2 linked regions of the Xenopus tropicalis genome follow. The protein of the gene in region 1 purifies or fractionates together with the protein of each later gene. This does not show direct contact. Links are inferred from orthologs where the notes say so. Each region holds a gene or a part of one and is shown on either strand. Other genes may lie near its edges.

The links. The genes of interacting proteins can lie anywhere in the genome.
Region 2: the proteins of rcc1 (region 1) and ranbp1 purify together in Homo sapiens (affinity purification with mass spectrometry; 3 studies listed by BioGRID and IntAct, counting the BioPlex papers as one, with this or other methods). This does not show direct contact. The link is inferred for Xenopus tropicalis from reciprocal best matches to the Homo sapiens genes RCC1 and RANBP1.

What each region holds. Positions count from the first base shown.
Region 1 is NC_030678.2:78,656,939-78,664,989, reverse strand, and holds the start of rcc1 (regulator of chromosome condensation), read left to right. Parts: upstream 1-3,211; 5' UTR 3,212-3,286; exon of another isoform or gene 3,287-3,451; intron 3,452-4,223; 5' UTR 4,224-4,231; coding exon 4,232-4,310; intron 4,311-4,809; coding exon 4,810-4,997; intron 4,998-5,070; coding exon 5,071-5,250; intron 5,251-5,899; coding exon 5,900-5,996; intron 5,997-6,308; coding exon 6,309-6,431; intron 6,432-7,524; coding exon 7,525-7,677; intron 7,678-7,907; coding exon 7,908-8,027; intron 8,028-8,051. UniProt on the Homo sapiens protein: Guanine-nucleotide releasing factor that promotes the exchange of Ran-bound GDP by GTP, and thereby plays an important role in RAN-mediated functions in nuclear import and mitosis.
Region 2 is NC_030677.2:155,373,188-155,381,324, forward strand, and holds the start of ranbp1 (ran-specific GTPase-activating protein), read left to right. Parts: upstream 1-2,560; 5' UTR 2,561-2,615; intron 2,616-2,736; 5' UTR 2,737-2,984; coding exon 2,985-2,999; intron 3,000-3,236; exon of another isoform or gene 3,237-3,438; intron 3,439-4,588; coding exon 4,589-4,725; intron 4,726-5,162; coding exon 5,163-5,320; intron 5,321-7,124; coding exon 7,125-7,253; intron 7,254-8,137. Other genes in the region: trmt2a (tRNA (uracil-5-)-methyltransferase homolog A), read right to left, coding at 206-819, 2,513-2,560. UniProt on the Homo sapiens protein: Plays a role in RAN-dependent nucleocytoplasmic transport. Alleviates the TNPO1-dependent inhibition of RAN GTPase activity and mediates the dissociation of RAN from proteins involved in transport into the nucleus.

The DNA.
Region 1 (8,051 bases):
GGATACTTACAAAATGAGTCTGTCTAAAGCTGGCCATACACGCACCGATACTATCATACGAAACCTCGTTTCGTACGATATTCGGTGCGTGTATGGCATGTCGGCGAGTCAACCGATATCGCAGGAAGCTGCTGATATTGGACGACTCGCCGATCGGCCAGGTTAGAAAATTTTGATCGGGCGCCATAGAAGGCGCCTGACCAAAATCTGCCGTCAGGGCTGAATCGGCAGAAGGAGGTAGAAATCCTATTGTTTCTACCTCCTTATCTGCTGTTTCAGCCCTGACTGTGTGTGGCGGATCTGACGATGTTTCGTGCGACCGATGGTCGCACGAAACATCGTCAGATCACCACATGTATGGCCAGCTTTAGGCTAATGCCACACGGGAGTATTCTAAGCCCCGCTACTGTAAATTTAGCCTGCCTTGTGTCTGCACCCGAATGAATGGAATACGCTTGCGTGCAGGCACATGTAGCCAATATCCGGCAAAATCCGCGAGACTTCATATTTTCGTTCGATATCAACTACATGTACCTGCACCCAAGCGTATTTTATTCGGGTGAAGACACAGGTAGGAGCATGTGGCGTGATTTTCGGGAAGCGTTTTTTTGGCTTGCCGAAAATATACGCCATACACTAGGTGGCAAATTCATTAAAGTACGACAGGTCCGAATACAAAAAAAAATTGCATTTTTGCATATTTTCTGCAATATTTTCGTTAATTTGCACAACTTTGTACTTTGTGACAATTTGCGCAACAATTTGTGCGACAAAATCATATTTGTCGCAATGAGAACGGAAGTTTCGGATTTATTCAAGTTTCGGTATCGTGACTTGTCATGGGCCAGGTTGGAGCTGCAGAGTGCCATTGAGTCCTATGGGAGGCTTCCAAAAACATGCACTGAAAGTTCAAAGTCAGAAAGGTTTTCCCACCATTTACGATCGCCATTAGTATTAGCATTAGTAAAGTGCAAAGTGGCGCAATACAGGTCAAGCAGGTGCAGGGTAAAGCTTGTACATCATCAACCTAGGGGTCACAAGTGTTGCTGTTGCCCAGCTGAAGTGTGCAACAACTTTTATTGTATGCTTCAGTTGTGGACTAACCCTGCTGCTATAGGTGATGTGCCGGCCTGCTCCTCACTGACATTGTCTCTGACAGCACCATGAGAGGCAGTTTGGTGCAGGAATACTTCTCAACCTTGGGATGGGTTGAGAAACTTGCAGGTTAGGGTTGGCACTGGCCAGAAAATTCGCAACTCACTTATTGCTAAAAGGCATTTTTTTGGAAGAATGTACCTTTTTCTCAATAGACTCATTACCTTGTATAGACAACTGTTTGTGCAAATATATATATATATATATATATATATATATATATATATATATATATTTATGTGCCAGTTATCTGAAGAATTACAAAACGTTAAATATAAACTCAATTACTGGACTGTGTGCTTTGTGCCAATCCCCATCCTGGTCTTTAACCTTCATGGTTGTGATTTAATTGTTTTGCTAATCCTATATAATACTACATCTGCGGTTACTTAAGAGATTTTTTTTCTCTTCCTTTCAAAAGAATAAAGATCCTCTCCAGGTTTATCACAATGATGTACCATGTTTAGAAAGGAAAATTGATTTTTTTTGTGGTAACATGATATTATTTATCAGCTAACAGAGTAATAGTGCAAGCTTTTAATAAAAGAATAGGAATTCAAATATGACAGCTCCATCAAATTGTTTTCATGTTGTCATTTTTATGTTGTTTACAAGTTCTGGATAACAGAAAATGTAATAAGGAAAACATAAGTATCTCTTGCATTTCCTGAACCCAGCAACTTGGTAGCAAATGTGCACCATGAATATTCCATAGAGACTTGTGAAGTGTCCATTTGATAAGGCCAGGCTCTTTGAAGTTTTGTTTTAAAGTGTCGTACTGTAGTATGGGTCTCTTAAAGGAGAAATATTGGATAAATGGGAAAACCCCTAACCCTGTAGGCAATTATGTATAATATACGGTGCTGGTTTCCCTTTGGGCTAAACATTAATCCTATCTGTAACAATGGCCCCTTTATTGGAGCTCCCTATAGATCCTATCACTTCTCTGTCGGCGTTTGAAATGGAGAGTGGGCGTGTCCTAATGGTCCCTGCCAGAAGCACAGTAGGAGGGGGAGAGCCAATCACAGCCCTGCAGTCACACAAGCAAAGACAGGCTTCAGTTCCCTATCAGGGCAGCCTAGCTGCTGATTGGTTCCTATCCTACAGTGCAGGGTACGGAGAGCCACCGGCCCCCCAGCTCATCCAGAGAATTCAGCCAGCAGGAAGTGGAACAGATGGGCGGGGCTCTAGGGGTGTTTTTGTGGAATTTCTCAATAAATCAGCAGGAAACACAACTTTTTAAAGCACAATCCTTCTATATCTAGAGGAGTTTAATTCACTGGTACATTCATAATTTTTATAGGATATGTCTCCTTTAAGATGGAGGGGATATAGGGGCCTGTTTATCATACTGTTTAAAAAAAGGTGCTCACTTACATTAAACTAACAATGTGATTGCAAGGCATCACTGTGTAAATAAACATATTTATCAAGCTATGTATTTATTTTAGATGACCACATAAAATTTCAAGAACAAGAATTGTAATGAAATTTGCCCATTAGCATTAATAACCGTGCAAGATTACAAGTGGTGCAAAATGAAGTAAAATACAGTAATGGGGAGGTGTCATAAAAAACACAATTTTTCAAACCTAAATCATAAATCACATGGTCACTGCCTGGGAAAGCAAAACAAAAGTATAGCAAGATTTCCTGTTTCCTTCACATAGGAGTAGGCACCTAGTAGGTACACGGGCATGTAATTACATCCCTAAATTGTGTTTGAAGCAAGCGACTTGGAGGGGATTGAAACAGTATAAGAGATTTCCCTGGTATTCGAACTTTAAGCATTCATATCCGTCGCCTATGCTACTAGTATTTAAGATTTGTGGTCTACTCAGTTTTAATTGACTAATAAAACCTGTGGCTTTTCACATAACACTGGTTTGGGGACTGGCGATACTCTGCCACTGCCGAATAAATTTATTCAAGGTCCGTTACTTTCGGGTTTTTTTATTGAGTTCTAACCACGGAAACGCCCATTTCGTGCAGACAAAGGGGCGTGGCTTACAGCCGCCCTTCCACTGTACTTTCCGGCGTCGCTTGGTACTGACGTCACGGATGCGCCGCACGTGTGAAGAAGTTGCTTAAAGGAGCTGAGCGCGGTTAATTTTGTAATCTTGGAGCACAGGTGAGGTTGTGGGGGCTTCAGCGGCACAGCGCTGGAACTTATAGCTATAAGCCGATACCGATAGTGTATATTGCTAGAAATCCTTCCCGGATAGGACAAACTACATGTATCTGGTTTAGCTGAATGTCTTACTAGCGTTTGCATAACCCGCTGACATCTACATATGTGAGATATTTATAATAGAAGCTGAATGTACTTTATCATTGCTTGACAATGTTAGCAGGTGTTGAGACTTGCTTTAGAGCGATTACTGGGTGTATCTGGACCTTTTTTTACTGTTTAGACAAGTTAGTATGAGGAGGTTAGTCGTTTTTAAGATTAGGTACTGAGTGTAGTGTTTTCTCTTTCATTTATCTGGGTGAGTAGGCGCCATCAGTAAGAACATGAAGCGGAGCTGTTATTGCTTTCCCCAATAAATATTTTATACAGTGCTGCTACAATTTTTAAGCCTTTGATAAGTTTATGTTCAGACAGGAAGTTTACCCTAATTTAAGGATCATGTTGTGTGTTGTCATGTGCCTGTTGTCAGCTAAATGTATAAATGAAATGCCTTTCTATATTATATAATAGTATGTGTTACCGAAAACATTCTGGGCAAACACTAAATGGCATATCTACTCATGCCTTAAGCATATTTATTGGATATTAATATGCATGCTTTTCCACTTTTTATTTAATGTTCAAATTATTATTTGGGCCTCATCAACTTGTGATATTCCAATAATTATTTGGACCCCTTGAAGAGGCTGAATGGGGAGTAGACTTTATTTTAGATTACTGCCATAAGGAATACATTGCTAATCCTATTAACTTTGATTATAAACAACAGGTTGGTTCTTGAAGTCACAGGCGGCATTCAGTTTTTCTAAATGTGATCACATACAGTCGGAGAAAAGACTAATGCTTATGCTTACTGATATTACTGTCTCTTTTCAAGACTTCACTATGAAAGGCAAAAAGGCTTTGAAGAGAGCTATTGTGGCTGAAGAAAGCAATGGAACATCAGTTGTTAAGAAAACTAAAGGTTAGTCATCCGTTGGCCAATTGTGTTTACATGTAAGAATATGGGTTTCTGTTTTTAGTTTTAACAGTAGTTTGTACAGCTCTTGCAAATTTAGGAAAGTGCCAAATTGCATTTTTTCATTTATCAATGATACCTTGGGAATTTGGCCTAATGCAAGAAGAGTCCAAACCATAGTTTGCATATACAAATCTTAGAATGAAAAGACCATTGTCCACAAAATTCTTTTAAAATTTTCCTACATTAAATTTATTTGTACTTGTATAAGCTTTGGGTTATTTTTTTTTAAACAGTTTGCCTTTTAATAAATGCGTCCTCATATGTCTAAATACATATAGTGCCAGCATCCCTTCTCAGGGGGATTCCCCGTAATTGGTTAAGTGTATTTGTTTTAGATAGGAAAATATATGGTAATATTTGTATTTGCAAGTCTCCCACTTGCGTGAAAGCAATCTGTTAACTGGTTGAAGTACAGCGTTTCTTTTTATATTTTTCCCAATAGTCAACCATTCTTCATATGGCACAGTTGGGGGGCAGGTATTAACCCTTGGACAGGGTGATGTTGGGCAGCTAGGGCTTGGAGAAGATGTGATGGAGAGGAAAAAACCTGCTCTGGTTACCCTTCCTGAGGACATCGTACAAGCAGCAGCTGGGGGGATGCACACTGTGTGCCTTGGAGCATCTGGAAGTGTGAGTATTTTTAAACAAAGAATGTGTATACTTGATGCTCTATCTTGTTCACTTACCCTTTTTTCCCCGTCAGATTTATACATTTGGATGCAATGATGAGGGTGCCCTTGGTCGTGACACTTCGGAGGAGGGATCGGAAACACAGCCTGGCAAGGTGGATCTTGTAGAAAAGGTGGTGCAGGTGTCTGCAGGAGACAGTCACACTGCTGCTCTGACAGAAGATGGCAGAGTGTTCGTCTTCGGATCATTCAGGGTACTAGAATATTTTGGTGAATTTTGTCAAAGTGGCACTCAACATCTTCCAGTATACCATATACTGCCAACTATATCCACTGTAGCAATACTATGTTTTGTTTCTCATAAAGTAGTAAGAGCTGTTGGTAAGGAAGGTGACACTGGGAATTTGTTCCACTTTTATTGTAATATCAAATGTTTACAGCTTTGTATTAAGTATATATTATTATATATTAATTATGTTTAACATTAAATATTATAACATTTAAATTACAATGTATTGACATGTCCAAGTAATGGTTAGGTCAGGCATTTTGTTACTAACCTAACTAGCTCTGAGGACATAGTGAACCATAGTAGAATACGGTTATTAGTAAGACTGTTCATTAGCTGATTAAATATTTTCAAAAACCTAATCACTTTTTATAGAATTACATTCCTAAACCTTGTCTTTGTTATTTGTAAAGGTCACAAAGTTGTTAAAAGTAAATTGAAAAGTTGCTAGCACCTCTGTTACTATATGCAAGGTTTTAGCAGGAATTAAAGGACTTATTGAGGGCTTCCCTGAGACAATGTGAACACATTGTTGAACCAAGAACACTGCTTCTATTGTGGAAGAATTCCTTGCTCTATAGGACCTACTGCAATATTTTTCTTTTCTTTTGTAGGATAATAATGGTGTTATTGGTTTACTGGAACCTATGAAGAAAAGCATGGTGCCTGTTCAAATGCAGATAAATGCACCAGTCATTAAAATAGCCTCTGGTAAGGGAGAATCCAAGCATGCAAAAATGACTTTAGTTTTTTTTCTTGTCAGTATCACTTTACTTTTCAAAATATTAATGTACATTTAAAAGTTACCTATAGGTCATGTTGATCATTTTTCGCTGATAGTTCTGCTTTTGTAAGTAATTGTTACTTGAAGTTCTTAAATCTTACTGTTGCCAACCTGACTCTCCCTTTCCCATGCAAAGAGTGTAATAATATATTTTAAAACCGTTTAATTTTAAGGTGTCAGTATCGCTTAAAAATTCTATAGTTGTCTTTCTCAATTTTTTTTTCTATTTACCATGGCAGGTAATGATCATCTTGTCTTGCTTACGGTGGATGGTGACCTATACACATCGGGATGCGGAGAGCAGGGTCAGCTGGGCCGAGTTCCAGAAAGATTCACCAATCGTGGAGGGCGCAAAGGACTAGGTTGGGTGACCATGTTCTTCCTGGCCTGTAGACCAAATTCATTTAAACCAGTGTATAATCATAAGGACAAATTACATCTGTTGTAGACATTTCTTATGAGGACATCTTTTTAATTTCCTATGGTCTGGTTTCTCTTATGGTTTGCACATAAATTTTAGGACCTTTGGATTAACTCTAACTGGAGAACAGAAATAGAAAATACACTCCTCTGTAGCAGTTGTGCTTACAAATCTACTGCACAGATATAACAATCTGGCAGTTTGTTTTAAATGTTTAAAAAAGGGGAGTGGTCAAAACTGGCTTTCTTTAGCTGCCATGTAGGCCAGAAAAATTCTGGCCCTTGGTACCACAGAAGTTGGACTGTACTGTCTTAAAGGACAAGGAAAGGCTAAGTCACTTGGGTGTGCCAAAATGTTAGGCACCCCCAAGTGACTTTAATCGCTTACCTTGTACCCCGGTCTGGTGCCCCTGTTAGGAGAAAACAGCACCAGCCCAGGGTACCTGTAGCAAGTGCTTCCTCCTTCGTTCTGCCGGGACCCCACGACTGGCGCATGCGCAGTAGAGTGAAAAGCCTACTTCTCTGTTAAAGTTTGGTTTTTTCACTCTACTGCGCGCGCACAGGAAGGAGGAAGCGCTGCAGCTACCCTGGGCTGGTGCTGTTCTCTCCGAACAGGGGCACCAGCCCGGGGTAAAAGGTAAGCGATTCAAGTCACTTGGGGGTGCCTAACATTTTGGCACCCCAAGTGACTTTGCCTTTCCTTGTCCTTTAACTAATGCTTCAGACCTATTGCACTACTAACAGTAATACGCCAGTCACTTATGTGGTCTCTGAATGGAAAATCAAGATTAAATATTTAAAAGCTGGTTTGTTAGGGGGGGGGGGGAAATCCCTGGCATGACCTAATGTGGGTTAGTTTTATATCCTCTGTTTAGATATCAACTTGTTTGCAATATGGTAACTAATGGGTGCAGATAGACAGGTTAGAATATCCTCCATTAATGCCTTGATCTCTCGGCTATTCATGCATCTTTATGTGTTTACTTGTAGTAATTTAGCAAAGTAAATGTAATTTTTTTTTCCCCCCCTCTTCAGAAAGATTGTTGGTTCCACAATGTATCCACTTGAAGGCAAAGGGAAGTGGACGTGTGCATTTCCAGGATGTGTTTTGTGGAGCATACTTCACCTTTGCAGTGTCCCAAGAAGGCCATGTATATGGCTTTGGTCTTTCAAACTACCATCAGCTTGGTGAGTAGTAAAGGGCTGCCAGTAAAATAAAATCATGCAGATGAAGGGAAGACAACTAGTGCGCCTATATAATTATTGAAAAAAAGTGTGTAATACATATTATCAAGGAGTTGTCTTAAAGCTGCTAAAGGGACATTGCTTTATTCTGAATATTGAAAGTGCTTTGTTTAACCTAAAATAAAAAAGGGGTATTTTGTTATTAGATTTAAAACTTGTGTGTTCAATCTTAGGTACAAAAACAACTCAGTCCTGTTTTGCACCTCAGAACTTAACCTCCTTCAAAAACTCCACCAAGTCCTGGGTAGGGTTCTCTGGAGGACAACATCACACCATTTGTGTGGACTCTGAAGGTGAGTCACTGGGGGGAGGGGAGG
Region 2 (8,137 bases), on another chromosome or scaffold:
TGGTCATCAATGTGAAAATGTGTTTAGTGGTTTCTATGGTTACATGCTTAGGTATTATGGAGCACAAACCTTGCACTGTAGGTGCCCTGCTGTATGAATAGGTCAGTATAGGTTTATGTGTGTGCCAGGTTCACTTGAAAGAGTTGAACTTGATGGCCTTTTTTTAACCCAACTTAACTATGTAACAAAAATACTGATACATTACTTTGTTAACTGCTTCAATACTTTGCAACATTCTTCCTCCTTAATTTTCAGCTGTTCTTCATATGGAACTTGCCACAAAGGAGTCACTACATCCGAGATCGTTTTACTGAGGGGCTCCTCCTCTGCATCATTGTGTGCAGCCTGACGCTTGCTTTCTGGCTGTTCACCATCTCCTTCTTCCTGCTTTCTTTTTTGCATTATGGGGTCAGCCCTGGGCTTTGCAAGTCGAACACTAAGTGTACGGTTCTTCCACTTCACCCCATGTATGACTTTCATAGCTTTGTCACGCTCTTCTTCACTTTTAAAAGTCACAAATGCAAAAGTTTGTTTATTCATGAGTTTAATCTTATGAGGATTTAGCCCATACTTGCCAAGGAATTTTTTTAAGTCATTAAAGCATATGTATTTTGGCAAGTTTTGTATTTCTACTTTGAAAATCTCTGAAGTGAAGAGATCGTCTTTGATGTATCTATAAATCCCTGCTTTATTCTTGCTGTCTGGACAGGACTCAGCAGAAGATTTTGCCATTTCATTGCTTCCATCTTCCTCTGCTGGGGAACCTTCTTGACTTATTTCTTCAGAGATGCAGATGTTTTCATTCGCGCAGGTTTCCATCTTCAAATCAGAACTGAAAAAGTTAACATTTACTAGCTTGAGTGTATCATTTATGATAGCTATTATAAAGTAGTATATATCTTGTCTTACTAGGGTAAAGCCAAATGTATTAGTTCCTCTCAGGACATATCAAGAACCAACACCATTACACTACATCAAATGAGTCCTACTGGTGGGTGTCTAACTCACTTGCTCTTTCCATGTTATCAAAGCACTCTACCTCGCCCCTTTATGCCAACCCTGGGTACCAGAAGAGTATGGTGGCAATTTGTTGAGAAGAGCACCCCAAGGCTGGTGAATTTTTGGGAGAGGAGAAGCGGGAGCCCGGGGTCTGAAGTAAGCAATCAGAATCACTGTGGGGTGCCTAGCTTGACACCCCAGTGATTAAATCAGAATGCAGTTTATATTCCTGAGTTTTACAAAAAAATATAAATATTTTTAAAACTACAAAAAACAAAGGAAATGTAAACCTTTAATGCAACTTAATTTAATATTAATCAGAGTGCTCTTCTAAGCATGTTTGTAATTTTTAAGATATTAGCAAAATGTCACTGCTACATTAATAAAACAACACTGCCGCCTGCTGGTCAGTAATTCCTACAGCGATACAGTTGGGAGAATTTTTCTGATGCTGCTCTACCTATGATTAAGTGTGCCTGCGCATGAAACGTGTTAGGCTTTGTTCTCTTAAATCAGCCAATAAAATTGGATTTTAACTGACTCTGATGGATGGTCCTGGTTTACGAGTATAGCTGGTTTTTGTATGGCTACTTAGGAAAGATTCTACTGAGAAAAGTCATCTAAGGTTTCTCCTGTTTCCTAAGCAGATTAAGATCATGAAATGTTCCTTGTTTCTAAACCTTTCTCTCAACTGTATCACAGTCAGAAGAAGTGACCAGCAGGTGTTGTTTCAATTTCACTATATTAGCACTATAACATTTTCCTTTTCCCCTAATAGCTTGAACATTGGGCAAAAATTGTATATTGCTCAGATGTGCCCTCTGAGCAATCAAACATCCTATAAGTACAAGAATATAAATGTAATCAAAAAATATGCCTTAAAACCTGTCCAGTCCTAAATCATGTTTTTCATATGTGCCATTCACTAAAGGGACATAATCATGTTTATGATTTACTAATCATGTGCTCAAACATATTGATGGTTTTATGCAGAAGCCAACTGAATAACAGACTTGGGGAGAGCTGACTAGTGATACACTGCTTCAAGATTAAATAACACACACATATAAAAACGAATACGGTTTTCAATTGTAATAAAACAAACCCACAGAAAACATCTCATTAAGCCGTATGTGGGAAAGTTTTATAGGATAACATTTTCTTTACTTGAGGGGGAAAACAGCATGTAGGTGGAGATACCCATTGGAACATCATGTTTAACATCCCCCGACCGAGCACATAGACAAAGACTGTTGGAAGGAATACAGTTATTGCAAAACTGCATATTGTACATGCATATAAGAAAACACAACCACATTCCTATGGAATGGAAATGACGGAAGGCAGTAAAGGGCTTAGTTCAAAGCCATCATCCATTTTAGTACCACGACATCGTATTCTCAATGGAAATAAAAAGTTGTATATTACTACATCAGCATTTAGATCCCGGCTTTATCTATAGCAAGAACAGGAATACATATCGCGCAATAAGACTCTAGCACGCAGCACTTACACAGGAGCTGCCATGCTGGTGACGTAAACGGAAACTGGCATCCGCCATGCCGCAAACTCCCGGAAGTGCTTAGGTGGCTGCAGTCATTATTCTGTCATTCATTGTAAGTTTCGTTGTGCCCCGATACTGCAGTACTGAAATGGGTGACGCATAGTGAGACAAGAAACCAGCGAATAGCATTGTATCAGCAATGTAAGTGTTTTTTGTCTTTTTAATTTTACTAGGGTTCCGTAGAATTGAAGAGGTTAGCGGATGTGACGTTGGGGGAGGAGAAAATCACGAGACGCCATCTTGGAGGAGGGCGCGTAGTGTCGTGAAGTGGCGTATAGTGCAGAAGGCGCTTGAGGCACGCACGGCATTGTGCAGGAAGAGAGGGTGGGAGGAAAAAAAACAGCGCGAAACCTGCGGAACAGACAGCGGCATTGAAGAAACAGGAGACCCACCCGCGCAATCTGCCTCCATCCTCTGCCCGATGGCCGATACCAAGGTATGGCTAGTAATATCCACTTCCCCCTGACTCACCGCTTTTTCCAGGATGCTTTTGCGCTGGTTTGTAAACGGGACAGAGTGATTTGTGTTGGCGGGCCGGGTGGAGGGGTGCCTAGCGTGTAGTACTGCAAGACCTGGGCGGGGTAACGAAGCATAAGGTGTTGCGAACCGGCAAAGTTGAGTGAGTGAATGGAGTGTGCGAACAAAGCGAGGGTTGGGCCGGAGGAAAAGTTACCTGCAGTCTAACTGTACGGCATGTGTGATTTGTGCGGCTCTTTCCCGCAATGCTCCGCACCCCGGGGAGCCTCCCGGCAGCAGGGAATGGAGAGTCCTAGTGAGGCAGAGACTTGCCCATCCTATGGGGCAGCAGCCCGCAGTGCTCAGTACACGTGTAGCCGCTAGTGCATATAGTAATGCGCAGGCCTACAGCATCGGCACCCCTAATGTAGTACAGCTAAAGCCCCCCCCCCCCCCCGGGACTGTCATTGCACTAGTCTTCTCATTGCTACAGGGGCAGTTGCACATACCTGGGCATAGCGTATTCCCGCCCCCCCCCCATGGCACTGTAGGAAAGTGGCACTTCTATACTTTGGTGCCTTGGGCAGCTGAACTGTAATCTGTTGTTGTTACCTGTGCAGGTAGCCAAATAAAGTTCAAAATGATAGATATTAATGAATCAGAGTCAGTAAGTATGGGGTGCAGCCAGAGAAGACTGATGTCATGTCTTTATGTGGTCTCCCAATCATTCCCTACACCACATTTACATTTGGGGGGCCCATGTGAAGGTGGGGGCTATATGTGGCTTACTGCATTCTGGCCTAATTACAAATAGTTTGCTCTCTTGCAAAGGCTGCAAGTTTAGCCTCCCCAGAGAAGCTACATGACTCAGATTTCAATTAGTCGCCTTACAGTTTTTATATAACTAGATTTGAGTGCTGCCAGAATCTGACTAACAGAATGGTCCAGGCCCATAGCAGTCCTTTCACCTCTTAAGGTGGCCATACACGTGGCGATCCGACGATGTTTCGTACGACCATCGGTCGCACGAAACATCGTAAGATCCGCCACACACCATTCAGGGCTGAATCGGCAGGTAAGGAGGTAGAAACAATAGGATTTCTACCTCCTTCTGCCGATTCAGCTCTGAAGGGAGAATTTTGGTCAGGCGCCTTCTATGGCGCCCGATCAAAATTTTCAAACTTGTCCGATCGGCGAGTCGTCCGATATCAGCAGCTTCCTGCGATATCGGTCGACTCGCCGACATGCCATACACGCACCGATTATCGTACGAAACGAGGTTTCGTACGATAATATCGGTGCGTGTATGGCCACCTTTACACAGAATGTCTGAATAGGCAGTTCCTGAGACTTGGTGCAGCTTTCATAGGCAACATATTTCCTTGACATTAGGCCTTACTGTAGTTTAGGTTATCGCCAGTTTAATTTTTTCGATGTCATTGGCTTCCACTTTGAGTTGTTTTAAAAAGCTAGAAGCAGCCTTGTGTGGCTTCACTTGACTGCTAATCTACCAACAGCACTTTAGGGAATTGCTTGTAATTTGCTTTATAGTTATTTTGTTTTTCTTAGGATACGCAAGAAGAGCATGAAACCTCTGTTGAAAACACAGAAGATACAAATCATGACCCTCATTTTGAACCAATAGTTTCACTGCCAGAGCAAGAGATTAAGACACTTGAAGAAGATGAAGAAGAACTATTTAAAATGTAAGTGTATCTTTGCCTTTCTGTCTTATACAATATTCTGTAAGAGTTCTTGTTGGTTACAAGACATATGATCACTTGATAATTCAGCTGAGCAGCATGAAACAATTGTATTTCACATGAAACCATTAGTTTAGTTTTGCTGTAACGCTTTGTTTTAATTGACTCATTTAGAATTAGTAGTACATAAACTCCCCAATACTTAATGGGTGTCAGGGCAGCATATAGTTAAATTCTTAAAATATTATTTTCCTTTAATGAAACTTGATTCTTGCTATGTGACAGTACTTCTGTAGAGGTGGATGAATGAAACCTTTGAACCCATCATGCACTTAACATGAAAACACTGAATTTACTCTTGAGCTTACATTCCAGAACGCTTCTACAGTCTAGCTATATTTGCCACATGTTTTAGATGTAACGTGTAATTCCTTCCATAGGCGCGCAAAGTTGTTCCGATTTGCGTCAGAAAATGACCCACCAGAATGGAAAGAAAGGGGCACAGGCGATGTTAAACTGCTGAAACACAAGGAGAAGGGAACAATTCGTCTCTTAATGAGGAGAGACAAGACTCTTAAGATATGTGCAAATCATTACAGTAAGTAAATGGGAGTTTCATAAGTTATTGGCTAGTTCTTTGATTAAAAAAAACAAGAACAGATGTAAATCAGTTCAAGATTCATGGCAACTAGATTGAAATGTCTTTAAAGTTAAAATACACAAAAGCCAAAGGAAATGATTCTTGGTGATGCTATATGACTCAGACCAAGACGGTTGCCCATTGCTTTTACTTCTGGCTTCATGTGAGGTGCATATGTTTGAGTAGCTATTGAATGCATGAATTGAGATTAATGCAAGGCATAAACTGCAACCCGAGAAAGTAACTGCATTATGGAAACTAGCAAAAACAAAACAAAGGTAAAAAAATACATTCCTTTTTTATTAATGTCGTTAGCCAAACAGTTTGAGACAGGTGGTTAGTAGATTAATTAAAATATTAATATTAAGGCTCCAGCACAGTTGGATATTTGCTTTTGAACTAGCTCACTTTTAGACTAAGGTGGTTTTATATCTTCCTTTTTTAGACATGTCAAATACCTTCCCTTTAAATAAACCTTAGGTATGATGTAGACAGCGATATCCTGCATAAACTTGCAGTTTATCTTTGTTTTGATGTGGACAGGCTCCTCTCTATGAATGTGAACTTACACAGTTTGTGGTATCTTGACTCTTAACAAGTTGGAGTAAAAAAAAATTAGTTAAACACTGGTAACAGGAATTGCTGATGGAAAAGATTGAATTCTTAAATGTATTTTGGGTTCAGGTCTCCAATAGCAGTCCAGCATTTCGCCATACTTCTCTTGGCATATAATAAGCTTAAGGTGTATTAAATTATATTGCCCACCTTTGCTATAGATTTATGATATTGTAAAGATAAAGAACAAATTTACATAAAGGGTTGATGTTCAATGGAATGTCATATGCCAGAAATTCAGCTCTGCGCACATTCTTACTGGACTGAAAACATCTGCTGGTGGTCTGTCTCCTGCTCTTCCCATCCACAAATAAGAGTAGTAGTGCAGGTGTGCCTTTCTTCTATTCTCACTGGTGGCTAGGAACAAAAGATAGAAGGCTGGTGTCTAAGTTAAGTTGAAATGTGTGCGAGTGGAAGCCAGGGAAGGAAATTAAATTTCAGCACTTTGTGTATGAAAACAGTAGAGAATTTTAAATAAGTTTATACTGTAAAACAGATCCCTAAGGCATATGAATGGCACTAACCGATCATAATTTTTTGCCTTTAGATCCTTTTAAAGGCACAAGATTGTAGTCATGAGTGCTTTTTCATGTAAGTGAGATAGGGTTTTAGGTGAGCGCATCAAAGTACAATGTACATTTTACAACTTGAGTGACAGATTAAGCAACTATAATAAATATATTTTATAAAGATATAATTTGCATGATTATGGCTTTTGTATGTGTGGTTGTCTGACAGCATCGGACACGGACACTATTAGCCTGCTGCTTACTGAGCTTTGTGGCTTAAATACTATTTTATAAAGATTTAAAGTTCTATTGAACGAATCTGTAGGTCTTCAGCCACATTGATATCTGCTGGTGTAGCGCATAGAAGGTATGGTACTTAACTCCTTGGTACTCTGTGTACAAATACCAGTGCTGGATATGGGGCTCTACATGTAAGATTGAAGTGTCATTCGTTGGCTTGTGCAGTCAAAAAGGCCTGTCCACTGATACACTGAATATGAGGCACATGTTGTCTACACATGCTTTGTCAGGGTCGCTTGCACCTAGACAATTATATTTATCCTTGTTACCAGCATGTGGCAGAGATTAGTTGACTTGTGCTCATAACACATTTACATTTCCTCTCTCTCTTTTTGTAGTTACCCCTGCAATGGAACTGAAGCCTAATGCTGGAAGTGACAGAGCATGGGTTTGGAACACATACGCTGATTTTGCAGATGAAGCACCAAAGCCTGAACTACTGGCTATTCGATTTTTAAATGCAGAAAGTAAGACCAGAACATATTTTGTCATCCATGTTAGTGATTTGTAATGCCTATGGATTATTATAAACACATAAGGCATAAAATTAAAGGAACGGTAACACTAAAAAATAAAAATGTTTTAAAATAATTAAAATATAATGTACTGTTGCCCTGCACTGGTAAAAGTTGTGTGTTTGCTTCAGAAAGACTACTGTAGTTAATAGAAATAGCTGTTGTGTAGCCATGGGGGCAGCCATTTAAATTGAAAAAAGAAGAAAAGGCACAGGTTACATAAGAAGATAACAGATAACTGTGTAGAATACAATGGGAATCTGCTACTTATCTGTTATCTGCTTAGTAACCTGTGCCTTTTCTCCTTTTTTCAATTTAAATGGCTGCCCCCATGGCTACACAGCAGGGTATTTGTATAAACTATAGTAGTGTTTATAAAGCAAACACACAACTTTTACCAGTGCAGGGCAACAGTGCATAATATATTCTTTTTATACACTTTCATTTTTTGGTGTTACTGTTCCTTTAAGCTCAGCCTTCAGAAAAATTTAATGAGGACAATGTAGGCTCATTCGATGTTCCCAAGATGCCTGGAATCTATATAGTCTCTATTAGTCAACCTCTAGCATCTGTGATGAGGGACAGATCCTAATGACTTCAAATATGTCCAAGTAATCTTATTTTTTTTTTTTTTTGTACATGCAAAAGAATGCTGCTGCAAACTAAATAACAATAGGTCTGAGCACACCCAGTTCAGATTCTGCAAAACTGAATTTGTTAGTGGTTCATATTGATATCTTGAATCTCCGTAACATGAGAGATTTCTTTGTTCCTGAAAACTTTTATTTTGTAGACCTCACAGGGTTAATATCTGAAATCAGATTTTCTGATCTGTA